4 linked regions of the Oryzias latipes genome follow. The main gene of each other region encodes a partner of the protein of the gene in region 2 in a complex. Links are inferred from orthologs where the notes say so. Each region holds a gene or a part of one and is shown on either strand. Other genes may lie near its edges.

Region 1 (4,166 bases), on a different chromosome or scaffold from region 2:
CAGCAGCTTCCTCAACAGGAAGATTCAATCAGATGTCTGAACAGAGAGAGCACCTGGAATGATCCAGTCGAATCTGTGTTTTCAACTTGACCCGAGGCGTGCAAACGTTGCTCTGCAGCTATGCTCCAGGGAACAGGAGTCCGGATATGAGTCTGACCCCAGATCACACATGAAGGAAGTCAGTTATTACAGCAAAGGCCGGCGGTTTATGAGTTCGGTTGAAAATCCAATATGAGAACTACACCCAAGGACAACTTTCAGTCCGTCTGCTCAAGTCAGCTCAGCAGCTGCACAAGTGAAGCATCCAATAACACCTCTTTAAAGTCTGAACTGAAAGGCCAAAACAGGAGAGTGGGTGCAATAAGCAGTGAAAATGTTTTTACATTACAATTGACTTACAAATGCCACTGGATATTGATGTGAAATTCCCGTTACTTTATTTCCCATATTAATAAAAAGCAGAGAAGAGTTATTCTTCACTGACCGCATTCATTTCAAGGTTTATTATACAGGCCATCGGTGCTGGAATGTTTAACCACTGCAAGTGGCAAATCAATCCACCATAAGATTTTAAAAAACTAAGTGGGGCAATAGTTGCAAAAGTAAGCACACATAAAAGTGTATTTATCCTAAGACACGCACTGTAAACCGATATCATAAGATCATAAGCCAACTTATGTTTCATACAGATTTCAGAGTCTTGTGCTTGACAGAGTGATTCAAGAAGCAGACTAAAATTATATGACAACAGCCATAATCACTACTCTCATTATCCACAGTCACCCTACTTTCTCACGTTAATGTAACAGTGCACACTCAAACAATGACTAAAATAACAGACTACACTAAAGCCATCATTTTAGCATTCAAGTAGACACAACCACGTTTGTGTGATAACATATATTAAAGTAAACTTTTTTTCAACAATATGATTTAATAAATTACTTTTTGGACAAAAAGCGATTTTTCACCTAAATCAGGGGGTCTGCAACCTGAGGCTCAAGAGCTCCTCCATCCATCTATTGTGACTCTTTGGCTTTAGAGAAAAATGCTAACCATTTATGAGAAGAAAAATGACTGTTTTGTTAGTTTCTTGTAGCTAATTCGGTTCTGTCATTTATATTTAGAACTTTAACATAACTGAGAAAAATATTGGTAAGAGTGGTTTCTATAATTAGAAGAAGCTTAATGCACATATACATTTGTTTAAAAATCAATGAGGCATGTTTATATTGGATAGTAAAATGAGAAAAAGGATGATGGTGCATCAAAGTCACAATTGTAGAAAGGTCATGTTTAATTTGGTTTTCTTGAATTTTTAATTCAAATAAAATCTGCTGAAGCAGGAGAATCCCTTTTGACACCGGCTATTTTATTTTGAAGGGAACTTAGGTTTTGGTCAATAAGAAACTGGACCAAAATGGCTCTTTTAGCATAAAGGTTGCAGATCCCTAACCTAAAGAAAATAAATAAATAAAAAATAAATAAATAAATAAAGACTAGGATTTTTGTGTTGTTCTGCTTGCTAACAACTGCTGGCGTTAGAAACAGTTTATGGGACATAATGATCTTTTAGCAAAAATGGAATATGGTAAGTGGAAACATTGGATATCATCAAATAAAAAATTCCGGTTTCCAAAATAAAATGTAAAACTTTATTCATTTTTTTTTTTTTTTTTTAATGGTTTGAACTCATGATAGTGAGCTGTGTGAACTACCTACCCTCATTCTCAGATGTTGGACATGCCACTTGCAACACCAGATCAAATGTTCTTTCTGGATTCTCCCTGAAAATCAAAAGGGTGTTTGATGAGAGGACTGACTGCAGGTGCTGGTGGTGTGATAATAACGCCTAAAGAGATCCGTTTAAAACGATTCTGCGCACGTGCAAATAACAATATACTGTATAAATTAGGCAGATATTCAACAAGTACTAATATTTAAGTTGCGTTATCTAACCATAAAAGCGTTAACCTGACTAACTAGTGGGTCACTGGGTGTTTTGCTTCATTTCCACGTTGACTAATTACTAAAGCTGTCGGTCCGCTAATTGACGTTCAGGTAGTTAACAACAACAGACTGACCCAAATAATGCTGTCGAGCCAGCTGGCCTGGCAGTTAAATCCACTGCTGGAGATGGCACGAATTACGCTAAACATTCCTGCACATGGCATGCGGCTCCGGGTTAACGCTACGTGTCTTCGCCCCCACGTTAGCCGTTAGCACGACCGCTGTCGGCGGAGGGACGACAGGCGCACACGAAACTCGAAGGGCTTACTTTATCCTGCAGTCCATGGTTTGGTTACAACATCCCGACAGCTCCGTGCTGTCGGCGGCTCTGCTGCGTGAATGTAAGCACCCCGTCCTTCCTCTGTCTCAGCTGTCACGTCCTCCGACGTCTCATCTGATCCCGACAGAGAGCTGCAATGACCTCATGTTTGAAGGTGGCGGAATGTCGCAGTGTAGGCTGTCTTTTCTATCGTATATGTGGCCTGCTGTGAAACCCACAATTCAGCACCACCGTGACTATTTCCCACAACAAATCCCACTCCAGGAAGTTCTGTCAAAGATTTGGTGACGTCAGCGCGTCGCGCGGGCACAGCTTCTTACGGTGGCGCGAGTCTTCAATATGAAAGGAGTCCAAATGGAAGGTTGTTTGAAATGCTTTATTTAACCTATATTTTTTATAATTTTCATACTTAGTTTTTAGCATTCACTTTACAAAGAACGTCCCTAAACACAAACGCGTTACTCACGTGCTGAATCAAACTACTACATATGTATTTAGTATACCATGACAAAGGTCGACTGGGTCATTTGAGGTGCTCTTTTTGTTCATCTAAGTAGTTACTAAAAGTGAAGCAGCGTACTTGAACCTTACTTTTTATAAACTATCTATAAATTGGAAATGTTCCTATTTATCAACTTCAAGAGTACTGGTTTTTGCTAAGGGTATTCAATTCTACAGCATTTAATTATTTTTAAATATAATAATATGAATGTATTCACATATATTTATATATTTTTGCACTGCTTCATATATCAATATGCTGTATATATTACTTTTCAAAAGTGACTGTTTCCATAATTGCTCAAAGTTTAGACACTATTGTCCTTTCAGGTTAAAGACTCACTCTCAAGAAGATTGTGTTTCTGCTGTTTTCAACTTGTGATATTTTTTTGATGGAGGACATATGTTAAGAAAATAAAGATTAAAATTGCAGTTCAGAGTATTTCTTTATTCAAATTGTTGTGAATCAGGAGCAGACAAAAAAATGCATTTAAAAAAAGATCATAGCTGTGATGTAGAAGCTACAATGAGCAGGCCACCAGCTCCATCCACTGTGGATGACTAAATCAATGTACGTCTTGGTTTTCCTCGTCTGAGCTGGTACCTGGCTGAAAACTGGACAGCTGGATAGCATCAATATTGCTCGCGATGAGGTTAGGTTGGGGGTGTGAGGGGCTGTAAGGTAGCCGGAGAGACTGGAAACCAATGGATGATGGGAAATGGGGGGGGGGGGGGGTGCTTACTCATGCCAACATTTCCGCCCACAACTCATAGGCAAATTTTTGATGAACTACTGCTGCAGAAATTACTTCCCAGAAAAGGAGTTTCGAGTTGGGCTAAAAATATGATCAGAGTGAGACTTCACTGATCTCATACTTCCAAGCGTTTGACCATTACTGATTACAAAGTAACAAATGGTGATTTGCATTCAAAATGTTTGCTTAATCAATGTTGTTCACCAGCTGGATGGCTCAGTTGGTTAAGTGCAGGACTGGCACATGGCCTAAATGTCCAATTGTTTCAACTGCCTTATTTGGTGATGATTACGTGGATCAGGTGAGTTTAGCCAAAAAAGGAGCTTTAAAATGGGAGGTTGGTTGGAAAACACACGGCACCAACCCTCAAGGCCTCTCAATGATTGTGGGACCCCTGCTCTAAAGTATGACTAATATGCTTTTGCACAAAAGCTGAGGTGCTTGCCACAGTTGTGATTTTATTGCGCCACTATTTAACTACTCTTGCTGCTACAATTTTCACTTAATTTCATTTGTCAGGCCGAGCACTCCAATCAAAATTTTTTATATATATGCACATACTGGCAATTAACTCTTTCTGATTCTGATAATGTTCCTCTCAGTCATTTGTTCGGGGGTTT
Region 2 (4,325 bases):
TTGATGTGACAAACTAATTTCCTCTTTTTTTTTTAAAGAAAAATTAATGTTGGCAACATATGGAAGCTTCTGGACAACTTTGTAACACAAATAAAAAGACACAGCTGCTGCCACCATGTAGGAGCCTCCCTTTTACATCTGTAATTACAAAAAGAAGGGAAATACACCCAGTTTCACAGTAAAAAAAAAAAAAAAAAAAAAAGAGTGGCTGTAGACGTCAGCCAACTGCTGATATGAAAGCCAATCCAAAAACCACAAAGAGCTTTACCTGGTTTCATGAAAGGTTAAGTGTAAATCTACGTACGTGGAGGTGATGGTGCGAAAGCGCTCCTGCCCTGCCGTGTCCCAGATCTGAAGCTTCACCTTCTCCCCGTTGATCTCCACTGTCCGGATCTTAAAGTCTACACCGATCGTGGTGATATAGCTACCTATAAAACGGTAATAGAAAACCACGACAACAAAAAGTTTGACTGAGAAGCAGTGGTAATGTCGAAAGCCTCGAGTCTGAGTCACAGCCGAGACAGAGCCACACACCTGAAAATGTGTTGTCTGCAAATCGCAGGAGGAGACTGCTCTTCCCCACTCCTGCAGAGGAAACACAAGCACAGGAAGAGGTTTTCACGCAGATATATGACATCAAGACACACACACACCACTTTTACCAACATTTTTCAACAGGATTTGACTGGAATCTGTCCAACAAAACCTCACGGTAGTTTCAGAAGTTTTAGGGGATTTTACATGCCACCATATAATCTACCTGCAACATTTTAAGGCAGCAAGTGTGGGAACATCAACAGTGGTGTAATCCTTCTGCATATAAGGATTGATTTACACAGTGAGGTAAAAAAAAAAGGTCACATTATACTTTATTTTTTAATAGAAGAATACTCAATCAGATGGAAAGATGATGGTCAAAACACCAAATACACTAGTAACAAAATAAATAAACCGGAGGGGGGGAAGTGGAAGTCAAGAGGATCTATAAGGTGTCCTTCACAGATTCTATTTTTGATTAGAAGTTCAAATTAAGACTGTAGTCAGGACATGTATTTATTCCTTTTAGTGTCATTGTCAGCTGCTTTTTTCTTAGGTCCTAATATAGAAGCTCTGAGGTTCCTGCAATCCCTACTCGGCAAAGATTTGTTTGATCGAATAATAACCACACTTCATAGCAGGAGGGACTGACTATGAACGCTCATCCGCTCTCCAAACCAAAAATCCCTGACAAACACTCGATGCAACAGAACCAGCCAAACTTAAAGCACCAGCATCTGCAGCCTAGAGCTTCAATAACTGGATGATTCTTAATAAAGTAGTGAATCATATTTGTTACAAAATTGATCTATATTTAAAATCCCTCCAACATAAGCCAAGGTAGTTTGTTGGACAACATAGCAGCGGTGTATTTGTTAATGCTACATAGGATAGGTGCAGAGGGTTAGCACATCTTTCCCAGATGATGCCTGCTTTTTGCAGCTGTGCACACTGGCTTCTGTGTTCATCACACTGACTGACCGCCCAGCTGATGATGGAGCAGCAGTGCCAGGAATGGGGCTGTCAATGAAAGCAAAGATTACTGCTCACAAAGACTTCCAATTGGCATCTGCTCCTGATGTTGGAGTCAAATGGGAAAAGTCCCTTTTTTGTTAGTTTGATTTGATGAGCGCTAGTGGAGTAATCTCATTTACAACCGGCCTCCAGCATCGAGCTATGTATGTCAGTGAGACACAGGTTTTCATTATAACACAGGAATCAAACATCTTCTATTGAAGCTGAACAGTTTAATAGACATATTTGTGGCACTTTTAGGCTTAGTTGAAACTAACCACTTGGTTAGTCTCACTTCAGCTTGGAACCACCGTCTGCAGTGCAGCAATCCTCCTTTACGAAGGAGCTGCCTGATACTTTCGTGTTAGCAAGCTGGCTACCCAACAAAATTCATCTAAATGGCTTCATCTAAATATGTGAACGTAGTCCACTTTTATGGATCATTTCTAAGCAAACAGTTTTTTTAAGGAACAGGTTAAATTGTGGTTTTCCACGGTACCAGGTCTGAAATCGTGACATTAGCCTAGCTACAAGTTAGCCAACATTTTAGCTACGGTGAAAACAAACAAGCAGCAAAATATGAGTGTTCTGGTTCACGTGGGTACACGAGAAACGGAGTGAGCTGGTGTGTGGCTAAAACAAAAATATGCCGATTTAAAAAAGCGGAAAATTTCAAATATTTCTGACTTGGACCATGAATATCTGTAGGCGGTATCCGGCCTGATCGGCTGACACGCCGTGCCTGTCCGGACACACAACCTCCGCCCTGTCACCGGCACAGAAAGAGAAACATGGCGGCTGTCTCTTTGATACTTATTTCTTCACATAAATCGAAATAAATAAATAAACGAAGGCGTAGCAGACTGTTTCTGTTTTCCCTCCCGATTAAAAGGATTTTTTCATAAAGAAACCCCGACAAGGCCTACTTCCCGTGTCGCATCCCCGGCATCTGCTTACCGCTGTCACCGATGATGAGCAGCTTGAAGAGGTAATCGTAGTCTCTGGCCATGCCGGTAGCTAGTAGCTCACCCCCGCCTTGTGCCGCTTCTTCCTTTGATTAGCTGCACCACTCCTCAAGTTTGTAAACAATTCAACAACCTCCCGGTATAAAACCAACCGGCCACTATCAATGCATGAAGCTAATGGCCCCCCGAGCCGGCGGCGTTCTTCTTCCTCGGGGTTTCGCGGCGTCAGCAACCCTCTCACTCCGCTGCAAACAGCCGGAAACTCCGCTTCCTTCTCTGGTAGAGCTGCACCCAAGTATGACCCAGCCCCACTGCGCAGGCCCCAGCCACAGCGCCACCGTCACGTCCCACTGATGAGCGCAGGTTACAGGGACGCTGGAGGCTGCAGGACAGCCAGGTTTCACACGCATATTTATGTACAAAAGAGCCTGATTGTATCTACAACTTTGCGACAAAGTGTAGGGTGTATCAGTTTTATCAACAGGTATAGCCTAAATGTTTTAAAGACCCATTCCACTAAAAATCGTATTTTTTTTATCATGTTCTTGTTACATTTTCTGACAGACATAAAATTAAGATTGAAACTGCATTTCTGAGTATTTCTTTATTTAAATCGTTGTGAATCAGGAGCTGACGAAAATCTTGTAGCAGTGACACTGTAGCTCCAGTCACCTGTAGGCCATTTGCTCCATGCCCACCTCCATTTGGATGAAGACAAACAGATCCATCAACGTCTTCGTTTTCCTCGTCTGAGCTGGCGTCTGGCTCCAAACTGAACTGTTCAGCAGGATAGCTCTAATATTACTCGCCATTTTTGTTGCAGCGGTAATGGTAGATTGGGGTTGTGAGGGGGTGTGTAAATAAAGGGATGATGGGAAATGATGGAAGGCTTACTCTGCACCAACAGACTAAGAGGGTTGTTGACTTTTAATGAACTACTGCCGCTCTGCAGAAACTATGTTCTAGAAAACAACAGATTTTTCATAATTTAAAGACCACTGGGAACACTTTTAAGATAGATCAAAAGATAATCGGTGTGGGACTTTCAACAGCCAACAGAGGAAAATCATTATTCCGCACAGTTTTGTGAATGTTTTTTTATTATTATTTTGCATCACTTTGTACAACTTTATCATTGATAACAATGATTGTTGTTTAATGGGTTTCTTTCCCAAACAACTGTCACACACAAAGTCCAAATAAAAGTTAGAGATGGGGAGTTGTTTTATGACATAGGCATCCCAGATGTTTTTTTTTTTGGTAAAATAGGTAGCAAAACACTTAAGTATCAAAACCGATTTGGCATTGTGGCTGTCAAATAAAGTTCAGTACAGGAAAATAACCTGCACATGAGAGGAACAAAACTAAAAAGAAATTGGGCTTAAAAGCCTCTAAAATGATGATGTAAAGTTGAGAAAGAAAAGAAATTTCTGGTATGCGTGAAGACCTCAACCAACAAAGCTCATCTCCCAACAAGCCCACGCAGGACAGAATGAGATTGTCCACTGAGTGTGTCTGAAGTTGTGGAACTTTTGTCGATCTGGGTAGGTTTGATTTCGTCGGTAATTCCCGCCTCATGTCAGAATAGTGTCGTCGATTTCTTCATTGGAGTCTGGCAGGCTGGCGATTTTCTTTAGTGAGCGGCGGTGACATTCTGACAGCAGATCGTTACTTGCTGAGTCCAGAATGGCAGTGACACTCTGAAAAATCAAATGATTAAAAATCTGAAAACGAGAAAGAGTGTTTAAACAGAAGCCTCACTTACTTGTAATGTCTCCTCTCCATGGCGGAGTCTCAGTAAGTTGACAA
Region 3 (3,560 bases), on a different chromosome or scaffold from region 2:
CACTGTGCCCTCCAAACAACACTTTTCTCCTCTTTTCCACCTCGCCAACGATAACTTCTACTTCACATTGAGTGAAGTTACGTTTTTTTGATTTTCTCTCCGTGTTTGGCATGGTTTCGCAATCAATGAATATTCATTTGTGGGCGTTTCACGGACTATTTATGGGCAACTATGGGCGTGTGATGAGGCCGCAAAAGCTGCGCAGCATTTAGAATTGGTTGTGATTTATTAAGGGAAAGATGCGTAGGATGTGCATGCGCACGGTTTTATAACTCTGAATATTTCTGTGCGTACGCACGTCCTACGTTTCATCCGTACGCCACTTCTGACGCAAATCCTACGCAAAGTTTTATAAATGAGGCCCCAGGCTGTGAAAAAAAGTTTTTCTTCTTTCTGAGTTTAAGGTGAACAATAACTATATCAGGACAACTGAAATTTTTTTTAGGTCACATTTTTTTTAAGTATTATTATAGCTAATTATAAAAACGTTAAACACAATCGATGTTTCGGGACTCGATGTTTACACCTGTGACCCCGCAAGGTTTTTTTGACAGTTTGTTAACGGGGAAATTTCGTATTCAAGACAAGCAAGAGTCAAATTCAAAACAAAGAAAAATCGTGTTCAAAACAGACAAGCTAAACGTAAAACTAAATTTGTATTTATATTTTTTTTGCAAAGTTGTGCAAAGATTATTAATTTGTGCACAACTTTGTCTTTATGAAAATTTTTCTTATTGACAGATCCCCATACTTTTTTTATTACAAAACATGGAATATACAACATTAGGCAAATAGTGATTATAAAAGTCGAATAATAAAAAAAATCATCAGGCACCACTATTTACCATACAAACAATCTTATCTTTTAAGGTAAGAATAACAAGCAATAAATTGATATTTTGATACAAATTTCTCCAAGATGTGAGCATACAGAACAGACATTTTGTAGATCAAAAACTTTTTTTCCCCCAGTTTTTAATTATTAAATTGATACTCACTCTTTAACAAATGTTTGCAGCTGATTTTTTATGGATCTCTGGGCCTGATCAAACAATATCTGTAAAGAAAAGAGTTTGACTTTTTAGAAACTCGATGGAAAATTGAGGCACAAACAGGATAACACAGTCTGAAACTCAGGAAAAAAGCTGATAAATACATTCCTTTTCAAGGCCACTTTAGCATTCAGCATTTCTGTCTAAAGAGGCTTTGTTAACAACAGCGGGTGCAATTAAGCTGTTAAATTTACACAAACAAGCTGACTCAGTAAAATCCCCTCATAAAAGACATAAACAGAAGACATGATGTGGTGGGTCGTTTTCTGTATTTGACTTATACTCTCATTAACTCACGTTTCCTTAAAAATGAGTTTCACCGAAACACACTAGTTTTGTTTGTTTTCCTAATAAGGACTTTTAATTGATCTTTTGCTCCAAGAAAAGCCAACATGAGCTGCGTGGCAGGGAAAAACCAATATGCACCAGAAGATCGCTGAGTGGCAAAAAGCTATCAGACAGTCAGCTGATGTGGTCAGAGTCTCCTGTGATGAGTAAGAGTTGCAGGCCTGCACTGCGGCTCCTGGAGACTTCCTGGTAGAGGAGACTGGAAGGTTAGGAGGAGGACGTGGTGAAAACTCAGTCACTAAGTCACTGTGGTCTTCCTCCCACATTGCTTTTCTTTGTGTAAAAAACATCAAAGACATCTTTTTTATTTAAGAACTCATTTGCCACAGAAATAAGGTTGTAAAAAGCGAATGTGAATGTATTTTTACAGAAAATATTAGTAAAACAATAATAATAATAGAATTTAAAGTGGTCAGTAGTTTTGTATGGTATTTCTTTAAACATTTTTTAAAGAATTCCTGAAAAATTGTAAATAAATTATACTTAGGGACATGTCATATTAGGTTGTCATGGGAATGAAAAGGTCAATATAGTAGAACGCTATCAGCATACTTTTCAATATAATATAAAGTTATCAGTAGTCCTAGTAAGATAAAACATAAATGTACAATTAATCTTGGTTAAACAAATTTAGAAAGGTCAAACATGACAGGGATGTTTCTTTACATCTTGGTGGTCATAAAATTGAACCACTGGGATTATATTAACTTTTTAAATGTAGACATGCTTATTGTTAATCTAACAGGAGTTAACATAATCTGGGTTATCAGTGCACCTCTCAATTAACCATTTCTAAAGAGTTTTTATAAAATTGTGTCTAATTACAGTTATTGGCATTATATTTGTTGAATAAGCAACATTTCAGTCGAAATGTTGACACTTTATTTTTGTGTGAAGTTAAACAGAATTAAAATTGCGGCTTTTTTTCATCAATGTCTTTGTATAAAAACAGATTTCAAAGATTCTTTTGGCAGTTCACAAATTCTCCAACAAATCTTTGGCAAATATCTCTTCTCAGTTCTGATTTCTGTCATTTTTTGAAGGCCTATCTACCTTTTAATGACAAAACCCCTGAATATTTCAGTTTTCATTTCTTTTTCTTTCCTTTGCTTTCAGTAATAAACTGAAACCAAACCCCCCCCCCTCCCGGGCTGCTTGAGTCCCGATGCCGGGGCGCTCCTGGCCTGGGGGTCTCTCCTCCCCTCTCCCGTTCTGGCTGGCTGGTTCCCCTTATGCACACACGGTTCACGTCGGCAGCATGCATGTATCTCCACCCCCACGTGCACGTGCACACTGCCACACTGCTCCCTGTCTGCTTCATCCCTCCTCCTAACCCACAGTGTATTGATGGACAGACATTTTCCGCTCATCTTCGTGTCAGAATTTCACCTTTGATGTAATATTTGTCTTTCCAGCAGATCTGGTATAATTGTTACAGCTTAAAATAATGACTTATTCAAATCAGTACTTGTATCCCCCACTTTCTCAGCTCTCTTCCTTTTACTCTCTTCCACCCCCCCTCTCACATTCTTCCCCTCTCCCTCCCCCCACACACTAAATGTAACTAATAAATAAAAATAATACAACAAAAAGGGGTTTATACAAATCTACACTCTAGTTTCTTGAAGTTCTATAACCTGTTTTTGTGATGGTAAAACCTGTCCAACACAAATGGCTTTCAGCTCTAATCTGCTTGCTTAGCTGTTGGACAGAACAGTCAAAAAAAGTAATAAACTGGCCATTGTTTAAAATAAAAGACCAGGAAAGGCCCATTTTTTTCCTTGCAGAGCCTGCTTCAGAGTGAAGTTAGACGACAGCCACTTTGCTCACTTTAAACCACAAAGTATATATCTAAAAGAAAACATGTTTAATCCTTTTTCTTCAAAGAGTTTGGGCCGCAACTACGCTTTCCTCTGCAGCTCTTTTCCACAAATAAATTTCAACAGAAGCTGTAACAGTACATAAACCCATCCTCTTTAAATAAGTGATGACGTACCGTGTGATAATTGATCATCTCCTGCAGGCTCTCTGCAAACTTTGTGAGACTAGACTGTGGAAAAAAGGGAGAAGACAGTAATTCAGGTACATTGAGGACATGCCTGTGGCAACCCCATCTATGAAGAACAAATAAAATAAAAAATGATTTACAATAAAGTAAAA
Region 4 (4,079 bases), about 25 Mb from region 2:
GCGGGAGGGAGGAGTTGCAGTTGGCATCCAGGTCCAGAGCCCCCTGGTACTCGGCAGAGCAGGAGCAGGTGGAGGAGACGGGGAGGTTGTTGGACAGGCAGGGGGGGGGCTGCAGAGGCTCAGTTGGCGAAGTGTGGAGGTCCAGGTAGAAAGCTCCTGCAGTCTGGCCCGGCCCCTCGAAACCCTCGAGGTTCAAGTTGGCTGAACCGGACCGGGCCGGTTTCTCACGGATGCCATTGTTCATCTTGTTGAAGATGGCGCTGAAGTTGACCAGGACGCCGTCGGAGCTGTTGCAGGACGAGTCGCTGCCGTAGGCCGGCTGGAAGTCGGAGAAGGCGTCGGGGAAGTTGTGCTGGCAGTGCGTCGGGTCGCAGAAGGAGCAGAGCTGCGAGGTCGACCCCGACGAGTCCGAACCCGGCTTGCTGCATCGGCCGCACCTCATGGACTGATCCTCGACTTCGTTGTCGTCCGCCCAGTCCTGCTCTCCACAGTCCATGGACGTGTTGGAGCCGCTGCTTCCCAGGCAGCGCCGGCTGTCCAGGTCAGAGGCCACGCCCCTAAAGGAGTCCCGCCTCTTTCCCTCCGATCCGTGCAAAACAAAAGGCTCAGCAGCAAAGTCCAGATGGTGCAAATGAAAGGCAGCCGTCCCACCGACACCGCTAGTGTCGCTGTGGAGGAGGAAGGAGGAGTCCTCCAGGTATCCACTCAGGCTGTGGTCCTCCTCCTCCTCCTCCTCCTCCTCCTCCTCTGCGTGCAGCAGGAAGGGGTTGTGGCGTGAAGGGGTCTCGCTCCGGGGTTTGGCTCTGGGAAGCGTGTGCACAGCAGGGAGCTGCTCCTCTGAAATACTGGAAGTAAAAGACGAGTTTCCACTGGCCGTGCTGCCCCCCCTCTTTGTTTCTGCTCCTCCTCCGGAGTGGGAGGACCAGGAGCTGCTGGAGGTGTGGATCAGGCTGCTGTAGAGCAGAGCTTCTCTCTGGAGGACATCTCGCTCCGGCAGGGAGGTGGTGCGGCTCAGCCCCAGGTTCTCTGGGGGGCTGAAGGGGCTGCCGCTCCTTAGCGAGTTCCCACAGTCTCCCTGCCGGCCCCCCGACACCTGGCAGTGCACCAGCGGGATGTGATGCACGATCAGGGTCTCCCCAGACAGCTGGGGGGGGCCGTCCATGGTCCACAGCCGACTGGAGGCGCAGGGAAACGGTGGCGGTTTTCAGGCGGCGCCCGGCTCTGCGGGAATCCCAGACGTCTGGAAGGACGGGTCAGGAAGGTCTGCGGTGGGGGGCATCTGCCAAAAGACAGACCGTGGGTCAGTTATGGTTTGAGTCCCAGCACCTGATGCACCCCCCCCCCCCACACACACACACACACACACACACAGGGAGCAGCTACAGCCATACTCTGTGAGTCAACCCCCCCAATCCAACCACCAATGCAAAGAGTCTACTTTTGTCTTTGGCACCACCAGATGTAACCCAAGGGACAGACACTCCACCACAGGGCCACTGCCTGCATGTGCCCTAAACTGAAAGCTTAATAGGGTGGGAGGAGCTACATTTGAGCGGTAAAAGGTCAGGAGGTCAAAGACAACAAAACACAGGCCTAAAGGGTATGAGCTGGTCACATAAAGGACGTCCTCAGGGGGACGTCTTCAAGAGGACGTCCTCCTCTGCGGGACGTCCTCCTCACCTCACCGGGACTGATTCCAGATGGAAGTCTTACACAAAGACAGTATTCTGATGCAAAGCCCTAACAGAACCAGAACCGTTACAAGGATCTGCAAGACCACCAGAACCTCCACCAAAACAATCTTCCAGCTCCAACAGACGTGGACCTGACCGGGGGGGGGGGACTACAGAGGAAAAAGACGTACGTCTGACGTCTGAGAGAGTCTGAGGCTCTAATCCTGGAAAAGCTCCGTGATGGGATCAGCATAAACCGGTAATGAGCAAGACGAGTTAAAAGGCACCAAACGTCCCGACAGCTTCAGCAACCAAACTTCAAAGGAAACTTGTCAAAATCACTGAAGAGAAATCTGGTGAAAGCTAGTTTCACAAAAGAGATTTTAAAAAAGCAATGAAAAGACATTCATTGATCAGATAATAAAACATGTTTCCTGCTTGATTGACGTCTGAGACCTTATTAAACATGAAACTCCTGATAGAATCGGCGCTGAAACACACCTGAAGGGAAATGTCTTCAGGTGGGGGGGTTCAGTTACTTCCTGTTGTCCCCCCTTTCAACAATGGCTCCTGCCCACCTTGATCCCCGGAAACCGCGGAGCCGCCCCTGGATGAAGGCCGCTGACGAGGCCGCGTTATGTCATTGTTTTCCCGCGGATGAAAGGAGATGAAAGGACCGACTGAGCCATTCCAGAGCGACCCGCAGATTCTAGAAACCCGCAGAGAAACGCAGAAACAGCAGCGATGACGTAAGAAGCCAGCAGGCGTAACACGCAGCCGCCCCAGCTGCTTGACGAGCTCCCCGTTACAAACGCCGTTACGAACCGTTAAACGCCGTTAAGTTAAAAGCCGTTCGAAGTCATCCAGGAAAAATGTCGGTGCTGAAGATTCACAGACACGTCCTTTACTGACGCGCGCGCACGAACGGTGGCGTTTAACGGGCCTCCGCCCTGCTCTTACCGGACACCAACGTAAGCTGTTATTTCTCCTCTTACCGTGATAACAACGACGGCGGGAAGCAGAGATGACGGAGCTGCTGCTCTCCGTTGTTTTCTCCGGTGGAGGCGGCGTGGGATGGGAGGGGCGCATGCCTCACGTCAGCGCGAGGTCGCTCTGTCGTCCCACACCAGATTATCCAACTGCGGGGGTGGGCAGCTGGCCCCCACCCTGCCGGTCACTCCACCAGCTCCACCTCCTGCACCGAAACCCGTTATTTACGCACAGCGGCAGACAAACAACATCAAAGGCCAAGGTCACACTGCCCCCCCCCCCCAACATGACCACGGCCTGCCACTTTGCTGACCCCCCTCCCCAATCACTTTGAGGGTCAATTAAGATCAATTAAGAGGGCTAATGGGAGGGGCAAAACTCTGAGAAGGAGGGGCTATGTGAATGTGATGGTCTGTTGGCTGGACTGGACGCTGGGGTAGTGGTTTCCACTCCCCTGCCACAGGTTCAAATCCCATCAGGGTTCACTCTGTGTGGAGTTTGCATGTTCTTCATGTGTGGGTTCTCCAGGCTCCTCCCACAGTCCAGAATCATGCTGCATAGCTGCATTGGAGACCCCAAACTGCCCCTTCAGGGTGAACGTTCCTGCAGAGGGGACCGGTCCACCTTCACCCAGTGGTGGCTGGGATAGGCTCCAGCAACCACATGGCCCTAATAGGGATAATGCAGGTCCAGAAAATGATGGACGGACAGATGGCTAAGTGTCCAGCAGTATAGTGCTGAATTCATCCTAAATGAAGCTGTCTGTAACATCCAGACATTGTTAATTATGAAAATAGTGATTTCCTTCAGGCATGTGCCCCCCGCGCCCCGCCCATAACATGACGTGGGAGACGTGAAGCTGGACCGACAGCAGAGACCATGACAGCGAGAAGCTCTGGCGTTTGTTTGGGATCAGAGCATCAGTGTTTTCTGATGATTCTGAGCTCAGTCTCCACCAAAATACCAATAAGAGCATCTTTAAACCTAAACGACGGCGACTTTGGCATAAAGGTGTCAGTAGATCTAGTTTCTGGTCTCTGTGGGACCCTTTGGGCAGGACGAGCGTCTCCGTTCTGTACATCTGTCTTTCAGGGACATACATTCTTTGTGTTTCCTCTTCCATAGAAACTATTTCCTTCTGTGAAAAAGTTTCAACCCAAAGAAAATCCACCAGTGGTTCTGGTCCTTCAGAACCGTCACACAGAGGAACAGCTGCCTTTACCTGCCTAGAATAGAACCCGTTGAAGGGGTTCTCACGTTCTCACATCACAGGTGTGGTTATAACCAAAGCCATGTCACATTTTCTGTCAGTTTCGAGCGTCATCTGTGTTGTTCTGCTATTGGTCCTTCAGAACCGTACAGGCAAACCACCAAACTAAAAGTCCCATTTTTCTCCAGAATGTGCCGGGAAATGAA

What was found.
Region 1: the proteins of rab35 (region 2) and dennd1b are in contact, whole or in part, in a crystal structure (PDB 3TW8), measured with the Homo sapiens proteins. The link is inferred for Oryzias latipes from reciprocal best matches to the Homo sapiens genes RAB35 and DENND1B. Residues at the interface, in NP_006852.1 of Homo sapiens: Lys10, Leu12, Ser17, Ser36, Tyr37, Ile38, Thr39, Thr40, Ile41, Gly42, Val43, Asp44, Phe45, Gln60, Trp62, Thr64, Ala65, Gly66, Arg69, Phe70, Arg71, Thr72, Ile73, Thr74, Ser75, Thr76, Tyr77, Arg79, Gly80, Thr81; in NP_001182144.1 of Homo sapiens: Met1, Arg4, Glu43, Ser47, Phe51, Val72, Leu73, Thr74, Asp75, Ile76, Glu77, Ser78, His211, Glu212, Arg213, Arg214, Gln242, His243, Ile244, Ile246, Leu249, His252, Leu253, Asp255, Tyr256, Cys258, Ala259, Pro260, Met261, Pro262.
Region 3: the proteins of rab35 (region 2) and acap2 are in contact, whole or in part, in a crystal structure (PDB 6IF3), measured with the Homo sapiens proteins. The link is inferred for Oryzias latipes from reciprocal best matches to the Homo sapiens genes RAB35 and ACAP2. Residues at the interface, in NP_006852.1 of Homo sapiens: Arg3, Asp4, Tyr5, Leu8, Ile41, Gly42, Val43, Asp44, Phe45, Ile47, Lys58, Gln60, Trp62, Phe70, Arg71, Thr72, Ile73, Thr76, Arg79; in NP_036419.3 of Homo sapiens: Val715, Ala718, Asn719, Ala720, Asp721, Val723, Thr724, Arg727, Leu728, Arg730, Met731, Glu734, Met735, Ser738, Glu748, Thr749, Gln751, Arg755, Asp756, Gln759, Met760.
Region 4: the proteins of rab35 (region 2) and iporin-like are in contact, whole or in part, in a crystal structure (PDB 6IF2), measured with the Homo sapiens proteins. The link is inferred for Oryzias latipes from reciprocal best matches to the Homo sapiens genes RAB35 and RUSC2. Residues at the interface, in NP_006852.1 of Homo sapiens: Asp4, Tyr5, Leu8, Phe9, Lys10, Ser22, Leu26, Asp30, Ile38, Thr40, Val43, Asp44, Phe45, Lys46, Ile47, Lys58, Gln60, Trp62, Thr76, Arg79, Gly80, His82; in NP_001129471.2 of Homo sapiens: Val997, Lys998, Asn1001, Asp1005, Val1008, Thr1013, Arg1015, Lys1020, Glu1119, Glu1155, Leu1158, Leu1159, Gln1161, Pro1162, Leu1165, Leu1166.

The regions. Positions count from the first base shown.
Region 1 is NC_019862.2:14,380,496-14,384,661, forward strand, and holds the start of dennd1b (DENN domain-containing protein 1B), read right to left. Parts: upstream 2,847-4,166; 5' UTR 2,296-2,846; coding exon 2,279-2,295; intron 1,788-2,278; coding exon 1,723-1,787; intron 1-1,722. UniProt on the Homo sapiens protein: Guanine nucleotide exchange factor (GEF) for RAB35 that acts as a regulator of T-cell receptor (TCR) internalization in TH2 cells. Acts by promoting the exchange of GDP to GTP, converting inactive GDP-bound RAB35 into its active GTP-bound form.
Region 2 is NC_019867.2:25,726,969-25,731,293, forward strand, and holds the start of rab35 (ras-related protein Rab-35), read right to left. Parts: upstream 2,832-4,325; 5' UTR 2,561-2,831; coding exon 2,509-2,560; intron 586-2,508; coding exon 535-585; intron 429-534; coding exon 305-428; intron 1-304. Other genes in the region: eIF-2-alpha kinase activator GCN1, read right to left, coding at 4,091-4,216, 4,282-4,325. UniProt on the Homo sapiens protein: The small GTPases Rab are key regulators of intracellular membrane trafficking, from the formation of transport vesicles to their fusion with membranes.
Region 3 is NC_019862.2:12,591,540-12,595,099, reverse strand, and holds part of acap2 (arf-GAP with coiled-coil, ANK repeat and PH domain-containing protein 2), read right to left. Parts: intron 3,451-3,560; coding exon 3,397-3,450; intron 1,058-3,396; coding exon 999-1,057; intron 1-998. UniProt on the Homo sapiens protein: GTPase-activating protein (GAP) for ADP ribosylation factor 6 (ARF6). Doesn't show GAP activity for RAB35.
Region 4 is NC_019867.2:448,212-452,290, forward strand, and holds the start of iporin-like, read right to left. Parts: upstream 2,855-4,079; 5' UTR 2,669-2,854; intron 2,653-2,668; exon of another isoform or gene 2,175-2,652; intron 1,280-2,174; 5' UTR 1,163-1,279; coding exon 1-1,162. UniProt on the Homo sapiens protein: Associates with the adapter-like complex 4 (AP-4) and may therefore play a role in vesicular trafficking of proteins at the trans-Golgi network.